Coturnix japonica: one gene and its partner. Each later gene encodes a partner of the first gene's protein in a complex. Links are inferred from orthologs where the notes say so. Each region holds a gene or a part of one and is shown on either strand. Other genes may lie near its edges. The genes, in order: DLAT and PDK3.

The links.
Region 2: the proteins of DLAT (region 1) and PDK3 are in contact, whole or in part, in a crystal structure (PDB 1Y8N), measured with the Homo sapiens proteins. The link is inferred for Coturnix japonica from reciprocal best matches to the Homo sapiens genes DLAT and PDK3. Residues at the interface, in NP_001922.2 of Homo sapiens: Ala225, Leu226, Ser227, Pro228, Thr229, Glu248, Gly249, Lys259, Ala260, Ile262, Glu265; in NP_005382.1 of Homo sapiens: Arg21, Phe22, Ser23, Pro24, Ser25, Pro26, Leu27, Phe48, Lys51, Val55, Asn373, Lys374, Ser375, Arg378.

What each region holds. Positions count from the first base shown.
Region 1 is NC_029539.1:5,401,555-5,405,939, forward strand, and holds the start of DLAT (dihydrolipoyllysine-residue acetyltransferase component of pyruvate dehydrogenase complex, mitochondrial), read right to left. Parts: upstream 2,939-4,385; 5' UTR 2,867-2,938; coding exon 2,651-2,866; intron 2,390-2,650; coding exon 2,288-2,389; intron 1,971-2,287; coding exon 1,846-1,970; intron 1,736-1,845; coding exon 1,579-1,735; intron 453-1,578; coding exon 326-452; intron 1-325.
Region 2 is NC_029516.1:107,567,574-107,571,881, forward strand, and holds the start of PDK3 (pyruvate dehydrogenase kinase, isozyme 3), read left to right. Parts: upstream 1-1,390; 5' UTR 1,391-1,589; coding exon 1,590-1,695; intron 1,696-4,308. UniProt on the Homo sapiens protein: Inhibits pyruvate dehydrogenase activity by phosphorylation of the E1 subunit PDHA1, and thereby regulates glucose metabolism and aerobic respiration. Can also phosphorylate PDHA2.

The DNA of each region.
Region 1 (4,385 bases):
GTTTTGGTGCCTGTCACACCAAACAGTAACTCTGAAAGACTTCAGTAACTAAAGCTGTGTCTGTATCTGGTAGACAATTCTTTTTTTTTATTTTTTCAGTGTAAAAGGTAGGAAATATCTCTTGTGCACTGTACATTCCTACCAGGGACTGATGGGCAAACAGTTATTTCTGGGAGCTCCAGTGGTTCTCTCTCCAGCAGCATGAGAGCAACAAAACACTTTTTAACTGCCCCACATCTTCATGTCCTGAGCAGCTGGGGAACAGCCAGCACAGAGGCTCCTCTAGATCCTCCCTCATCTGTTCTTGCCTTTGGAGTTGACTCACCTATTGTGGCTTTGTCTGTCTCAATTTCTGCTAGTAAGTCTCCCTCGTTCAGTTTCTCCCCGACCTTCTTTTCCCATCTCTGCACTGTGCCCATTGTCATGGTGGGTGACAGAGCTGGGAGAGCAACCTGTAAGCCAGAGTACGAATGCATCAGATTTTGGAGACTCAAAAGGAACAGTGACATAGTCGAGAACTCTTGACTAAATGATGCCAACGTAAAGGAGCAGAAAACGTTTAACACACTCTTAGATCTGCTTCCATTACAGCAAAGCACAGTTTCGTGCTGTATCTCAAGTTTGGCTTCTTTTGTCAAGGCAAGAAAACAAGCAAATGCAAAAATGAAGAAATCTAGATAATTAGTACCATCATCCCTGGGGACAGTCTTGCAGCTGCTGTCTGTAAGGCTCAAAGGAAGGCTACAGCAAGTTACTTTTGACTCTGACAAACATGCCTCGTTCCTGTAACAGCTATACAGACTTGTCTTCCACTAAGCGCTTAAATGTGCTGTAGGTTTAGACACATACTGTGTAAAACAAACACAGCACACATAACAGCTTTAGAACAGAACTGGGCAGATAATGCAATTAACCAAGTAGCTGAATTCAAGTCAGATCAAGAAGCACTGAATTAATACCCAGTTCATGTATTGACTTTCCATAGCATCTCAGACAAATCAGTTTCTGCACGTCTTTAACTGTGAAAGGAGATATTTTGGATCTCGGGTTTCAAATTAACATCACAGAACTACCCTGCTATAAAGTGCTCAGACAGAACAACGATGGATGCACACTTCAGTATCTAAGCAAACAGATTATCCACAAATAGAGCTCATTTTCAGTTGCTCACAAACACATCTGGTATGTTCAGAGTATCACAGACTTCTGGGTTCTGCTGAGATCTGAGCAGGGCCCTCAGGCCACTCACACTAAGTACAAAGTCTTTTTATATCAGAGCTGTCCAAACCAAAGGAATGCAGCAGTTTTTTTCTCATCTGCTCAAGTAGCCACGAGAAACAAGTTATCTCCTACCAGCAGCTGGGATAACAAAAATCATTGTAATAAGAAAACTTTCTGGGACCACCACGAACAGCTGCTTTAAGCACACACCACTTTGAGAGCCATGTGCTCCTGTGGTTGTAGCTAATGCTCTCCTGTTCCTGACAGTATTTATGACAAAACGTCCTAAATCAAATGAGGCCAAAAAAAAAGAAAAAGCATGCAACAAACCTCAGATGGTTAATAATGCTCTGTTACCTGCATGTGAGGAGGATAAGAGCTGCCAGGAGCCTGAGGAGAAGGCGGAGGTGGGGGTGAGGGTGCTGCAGCTGGAGGAGGAGGCACTGAGGCTGCAGGGGGAGCAGATGCTGCAGAATCCAGAGTGTAATTTTTAAAGGCATCGACATGTTCAGGCCTAAAAAAACCCAAACAATCAGACCAATGACACTGTCATGGCCTTTAGCACAGGGCACACACAAAGCCCCAACAGAGAAAATTCAACTAAAGGGTTTGGAAAATACATACTTCTCTACTGTGATACATATTATGGCCCCAATAGGAACATCTCTTGTTCCCTCCGGTACCAGGATTTTGGCCAGGTAGCATTCCTCCAAACTCTCAAAGCCAACTGTTGCTTTGTCCGTCTCCACCTTTCAAAGAAAGAACAGGACATTGTTATGGAAAGGGAACAGCCGTGAGCTCAGAGCCCTCCAGTGCCATAACGTGGGGTCTGAGAGCACAGAGCCCTGGCACAAACCAACAGCTCGGGAGAGGATTCCTCTCGGAAGGGGTGGGTGCTCCTCCTGCACAGAAGGAACAAACCCAGCAGCCAGTCCTGGCAGGCTGCAGGTAATCCATCTCCAGCAAGATCTTCACAAAACGTGCTCAAGAGAGGGCGGGCAGTGACAGAACCCAGAGCACACCCGCAGCCCAGTGTAAGCCCGGCACACCCCGCACCCTCTGATACCTCCGCGATGAGATCCCCTTCGCTGATCTTGTCGCCCTCCTTCTTCTCCCAGCGCGCGATGGTGCCCATCTGCATCGTGGGGGACAGCGCCGGCAATGCCACCTGCAGGGGGAGGAGCAGCGTCACGGCACGAGCAGCCCCCGGAGCCGGAGCTCGGGGCAGGGCGGGACGGCAGGAACAGCCCGACTGCCACCTCCCGGCGGGGCAGGAAGGTGGGATGGCGCTAAGCGGGGGAGCTGTACAGAACGGGCCTAAGGGCGCCGGAGGAACGGCGGGCGGTAGCGGGGCTCGGGGAGCGCGGGCAGGAGGGGTGGAGGGCCCGCAATGCCGAGCGGGGCTCGGAGCGGGCGGCAGAGCTCTCACCTTCTGGTGCGCCGGCAGGCTGCAGCGGCGGCACGGCACGAAGCGGGGCCAGGCGAGAGGCGGCAGCAGCTCGTTGGGCCTCAGTGCCGGACCGCGGCCCCGAGACACGGCGCCCACCGCCGCCGCGCGACCGGCCCCGGCGGAGCTGAGCGCCCGGCAGCCCCGCGCCAACCCCGCGGCCCCCGGGGCTACGCGCTGCGCCAACACCCGCCACATGCTGCACCGGAGCCGCCGCACCGCACCGCACCGCACCGCACCGCAGCACCGCTCCGCCGCTCGGTGACCTCCTCCGTCCGGGCGCGGCGCCGCACGGCCCGCACGACACTGCTGCGCTGCAGTAAAGCGCGGACGGAGGGGGGGGGGGGGGAGGCGCGGAGTGACGCCGTGTGGGCATGCGCCGCGTCCCGCCGCGCTCCTTAAGGCAGCTCGCACAGAAAATGATGAGCACCAGGTCGAGTTAATACGAAAATATAATGTAACGTATAACGGGGTACAGCGTCAGCTTAAAAGTATGGGAGCGGGCAGTAAGTTGGCAGACGGGCAGAAATAAATACGGATTCCAGCCAACGGAGCGGAGGTCCCGCGTGCAGCATGAAGAGCACGTTTACAAAACAAACCCGCTGAAGTGACTGCGGTGGCAGCACCATTTCATGTAGATACAACAGCTCCTTTCCCATTGCAAACTGGGTACCAAAAGGGCAAGGTATCCCTTAGAAGCTCTGATAACAGCTCCGCCATCAAACAACATGAAGTGGCAGCTACAGACCTTGAGAACTGTCTCCATAAAATCCTGTCCTGGGTGTGTGACCCTTGGCTGAAATAGAACCAATGAGCAAAACTCGATGAAACGCTTGAGAAACAAACTGCAATTGAATTACAACTGATTCCAATAGAACAACCCCATGCTGTATTTAACAACCCACTGAAACACAAGCATCAGAAAACTATTTCCAGGGGGGATGAAAATCCTTCTTTTCCAAGCGAGATGTGTTCCCCTGCCTGCAGCTATTGATGCATTTACACACTGATGAGCTTTTCTACTGATACCAGCCTCTGTCCGTAAAGAAAAAGTCACCACAACAAATCATGCAGAGCAGCAGCTGTGCTGCCCTTTGCCAGGCTGGCACAGGGCCCTGTAAAACCCTTCAGCTCTTTCTTGCTTGTACAAGCGGGCAAAACATAAAATCCAGTGGGAACTAGTTGAATTTCCAAAGTAAAATAAAGTCAAACCCAGTGTTGTGTGAACAGAAGACAATACAAAACATCTCAGGATCCACCAGAGAGAAAAACACCATATAATGCGTGCAGAAATATACAGAAAGCACTTGCACTGGTATAAAAATATCCACGGTCATCAGACAATGTAAACTGGTACAAAATAATTCCAAACAGTAACATATTTACAGAGGGATGTGTTAATATAAAACAGTAAAACCAGGTTCACCCTCTCCCAGCCTCATGCACGGTACAGACATGCGGGCAGGCCGTGAAAGGGCCACACAGACCAAGAATGAGCAGAGCCTTGACTTGCCATTTGAACTTTAAAGTCAACAGTGCCTGCTGCAGACCGGAGCCAGCGCTGCGCAAGTGGAGCTGACAGGTAGCAGGAGGACAGAGCAAAGCAGGGGAAAAACAGAACAAACAAAAGCCAAAACAAACAATCCCCACAAAAGCCTTAGGGATCTGAGGGCTCTCAATCGTCCAGTCTTTCAGAAGCCCCAGCAGTAGGCATAGC
Region 2 (4,308 bases), on another chromosome or scaffold:
AGTTTAATTGGATAAAACTTTACGTGCAAAATCTTTGCTCCCTGAAAATGGAAGCATATGTATCATAAGGGCCGTGAAAGAACAGGATCTGAAAATATAACAATATATATATATATAACAATATATAATTCCTTCTCCATCCCCGTGGCTTTGCTGAAATTGTGTACTGAGGATACTCACATATGTAGAGATTAAGCAGCAGAGGCTCTTCCACGCTCACTGCTCTAGGTGAAAATGCTAAAACAAACAAACAAACAAAAAACCCCGCAAATTAGTGAAATGGTTAAAGAAAGCTTTAAAGTTTGGGTTGTTGTTGTTTCCAAGACTAAAGATACCTTTGAAAATATTAGCTTGACAATTACTTTGGGCTGATCATAGTTCACAGTAAGATCCTACTCCTCTTTATTTTCGCAGATATTGACTTCAATGACCATTCAGGAAACAAAGCTCCAAGTAAGATGACTGCGAGGCTTTATTTTGACCAACACATTCTGAATGTTTTAATAAATAGCTATGGGGGAATATAAACTCCTAACTCCTCACCTTAAAGACGAAGCTCTGGCTTCTCCTTTCTGCTTGAAGCACATCTGCATCATTTCCATTACTTCTTTCATTTTCTTAATGTGAAAGACAGTCATGCAAATTGTTAGGGTATCAGTTCTGTACCAGTTTTCCTCCAGTTACTCCACTTCATTCCACACAGCTATTAAATCACAGAATCACACACAATCACAGAATTGTAGGGGTTGGAAGGGACCTCTAGAGATCATCGAGTCCAACCCCCCTGCCACAGCAGGCTCCCTACACCATGTCAAAATCAAACTCTATTTACAAGTCATTACGTTATATCATTATTTTCTAAATTATATTATAGATTTCTGATCACCCTATTATGTACCACAGTGGGATATCTCAAAGTGAGCAGGAATGCTGGAGATTCTAGGAGACAATGACAAGCCAGTTCCCAAATAAAATCTCTTTTCTTCCCTTCTAGTTGTGAATGGTATATAACCACCAGGAGAGTGGTTAGGCCCTGGAACAGGCTGCCCAGGGAGGTTGTGGATGCCCCGTCCTTGGAGGTGTTCAAGACCAGGTTGGACGGGGCTCTGGGCAACCTGATCTAGTAAAGGTGTATGTTTGGTGGCCCTGCCAGGCAAGGGGGTTGGCACTACATGATCCTTGAGGTCAACTTCCAACCCGGATCATTCTGTGATTCTATCACGTAATATCATTTAGTCCAACTCTGAGCCCGTCTCATGGGCTTCTGAGTCGGAATGGAGCCACAGCTCCCAGCTCCACACAGACTCCCTCACAACAGGCCACGCACCTCGACCGTTGGGGCTCGAAGCTTTACGCACGCGCGGCGCTGCGGGGCGGGGCTGGCGCCTGCGCGCCTGCGCAGTAGGGCGGGGCGGAGGGGGCGGAGGGCTCCCTCCGCTCGCCCCTCCCGCCGGGCCGCTCCTGGCCGGGCAGGGTAAGGGCAGGGTGAGGCCGCGCAGCGACACGGGCTGAGCCGGGCCGGCCGATCCTTGGCATGAGCGCGGGTGGCTGCGCCGCCGTCGCCGCCTCAGCGCGTTAAGTGTTGCGCCATGCGGCTGTGCGGGGTGCTGCTCAAGAGCCCCATCCCTAAGCAGATCGAGTACTACTCGCGGTTCTCCCCATCGCCGCTCTCCATCAAGCAGTTCCTCGACTTCGGTGAGTGGCTCGGCGGGCCCGGGGCGGGCCGGGCGAGGGGGACGGGAGAGGCCTGGCCCCCGCGTCCTCGCCAGGCGGCTGTGGAGGCCTCGGGGTGCTCCGTCACGGCACGGAGCGGGGGGAGAGAGGGAAGACGGTCGGGAGAGCGCTTATGATGCGGGGCGCCGAGCTTGGCTATGGAAATTGAGATCCCTCTGCGTGGAGACTGGTTTAACACAGAGCTGGAGCACGAGCTTTGACAGCCGTGGTGCTCGTGGAAAGTTGATGCTTTAGGAAGCGCTGCTGATGGACAGATAGCGTTTTGCTGTTGAGTGGAGACCCGGGCGTGCCTTGTGTTGCTGGAGAGCTGGTTCTGATGTAGGTAACAATGCGATTCTATCTGGGTCAGAGGTTATTGGCTTCCTCTTCTGGCAGGAGCGCTGTTTACGTTTTATTATACTATAAATGCAGCTGCTGAAGTAAATAGAAAGGTCACGCGTAGCACCACGAGGCTTAATATAGTGCTCCTTCATTCCAGTGTGATATTAAAGACACAAGGAGACAGGAAAGAGGCATTAAGCCTGAAAGCAATTAAAAGTGGAAACAGTGGCATGTTTATTGCGGTGGTATTAGTGGAAAAAAGGCTGCGACTACAAAGATCCAGCAGCGGGGATGTTCTTGCTGCTGTGTCTCTGCACACAGGGTGTTCTGCCATTGAAACAAGGCCCAGCACCCCACCTTGTCACTGGTGACAAGTGACAGGATGAGGGGAAATGGCCTCAAGTTGCGCCAGGGCAAGTTTAGGTTGGATGTTAGGAAGAACTTCTTTACAGAAAGGGTAGTTAGGTACTGGAATAGGCTCCCCAGGGAGGTGGTTGAATCGCCATCCCTGGTTGTGTTTAAGAGCCGTTTGGATGTGGTGCTCAGGGATATGATTTAGTGTAGGGTTGTTAGAGTTAGCGTACTGGTTAGGCTGTGGTTGGACTTGATGATCTTCAAGGTCTTTTCCAACCTGGGTAATTCTATGATTCTCTGATTAGCCTGGGTTACATTAAAATGATAACCTGACTAGAACCTGTGTATTCCTCCTCACCAGTCTGACTTGTCATCCCCACGTGTGCCTTTGCTGCTGTGTTAGCCATGCCTCGCATTTGTGCTCTGGACACTGTGTCTTTCTGTGCTGTCACAAACAATGCTATGAAACTAAGATAGTGAGAGCCTGCCCAGTGCTGTTCTCTGCCTGTGGTCCCAGCTGTTATCACTGGATGTGCCTGTGGAGCCCTGTGTGTGCTTACACTGTGTATTTTAATGTAGTGATATATTACAACTGACAGGAAGCTATATGGTCTGTCATTTAAAATCTCTGAAGAAGAAGTAAAAATACGGCTGTGGTTCAGGCTCCTATAATCACTATGGGATGTTTTCATGAGTTCATAAGATTAGAAACCGATATTGCGTCTCACTAAAACTGTCGGCTTGATCTTAATAAGCCTTGCAGCCTGTTTACGGCTTCACTAACTTTCTCTTTGGCACACGTATTTACTGAGGTAACCTGAGTAGGAAGATAACAGCAATCTAATCCAATAGGTCAAAAACAGTGCAGTGACTTAACCTATCCAGCCCTGGGCGTAGGTGGCTTTGGATAATTTCAGGTTCCACCGGAGACCTTGGAGACTTTGAGGAGAAATTGCCATCAAATGCCCTGATGGCAGATGTTGGGGCAACAACTGTGACCTGCTGGGCATGGAAGGATTGGTCACTTGGTGCCCTAATCTATAGTGCTGCATCAGGAGATACAGCCCTGCTGTCTGAATTAGCTCAAAGTGTTCACTGAATTGCAAAAGTTGCTCAGGTAGCTTAATTCATTTAAAATTCTATGGAAGACAGTTTGAATTACAGCATAGGAAATTCTGCACGAGTGTGCACAAGAACTTCTTTACAGTGAGGGTGACGGAGCACTGGAACAGGCTGCCCAGGGAGGTGGTGGAGTCTCCTTCTCTGGAGATATTCAAGAACCCGCCTGGACGCCTACCTGTGTGACGTGGTGTAGGGAGCCTGCTTTGGCAGGGGGGTTGGACTCGATGATCTCTAGAGGTCCCTTCCAACCCCTACAATTCTGTGTGATTCTGTGAATACTTAAACTAGCTTATTAATACCAAAGCCCTGCAAAGCTAACCAGAAAGCAATACTTAAAGCAGTATCTCCACCCCCATATGTGATGCATTTTCTGTCAAGCTTGCAGCTATCTTCATAGCTGCCACGACTGTGTGAGGGGTTACAGTGTCATCATGGGCTCAGGATTTCTGTGTCACAATCGGAGAGCACAGAGGAGGAGGGCAGGAATACCAGTATTGGAGTTGTGTGTTTGATAGATCCTCCTAATTTAGACTTGCCACAGCTGTGCAAAGCATGCCTTAAAGGACTACAGGTGATCTGAAATAGCCAGCAGTCCTGTCAGCTTCTTATGTGGATAACTGGTCAGTCAAGTATGCCTGGGGAAGAAGGTAAGTAACCAGCTGGCTGTGTCTGTTGGGGAAGGTAGTGTTTCTATGTCTAGTTGTGTCCTAGCACTTAAAGAAAGGGCACACAGAAGGACGTGAGCTTACTCTGCCTGGCTGTTCAGGGCTGGCTTTA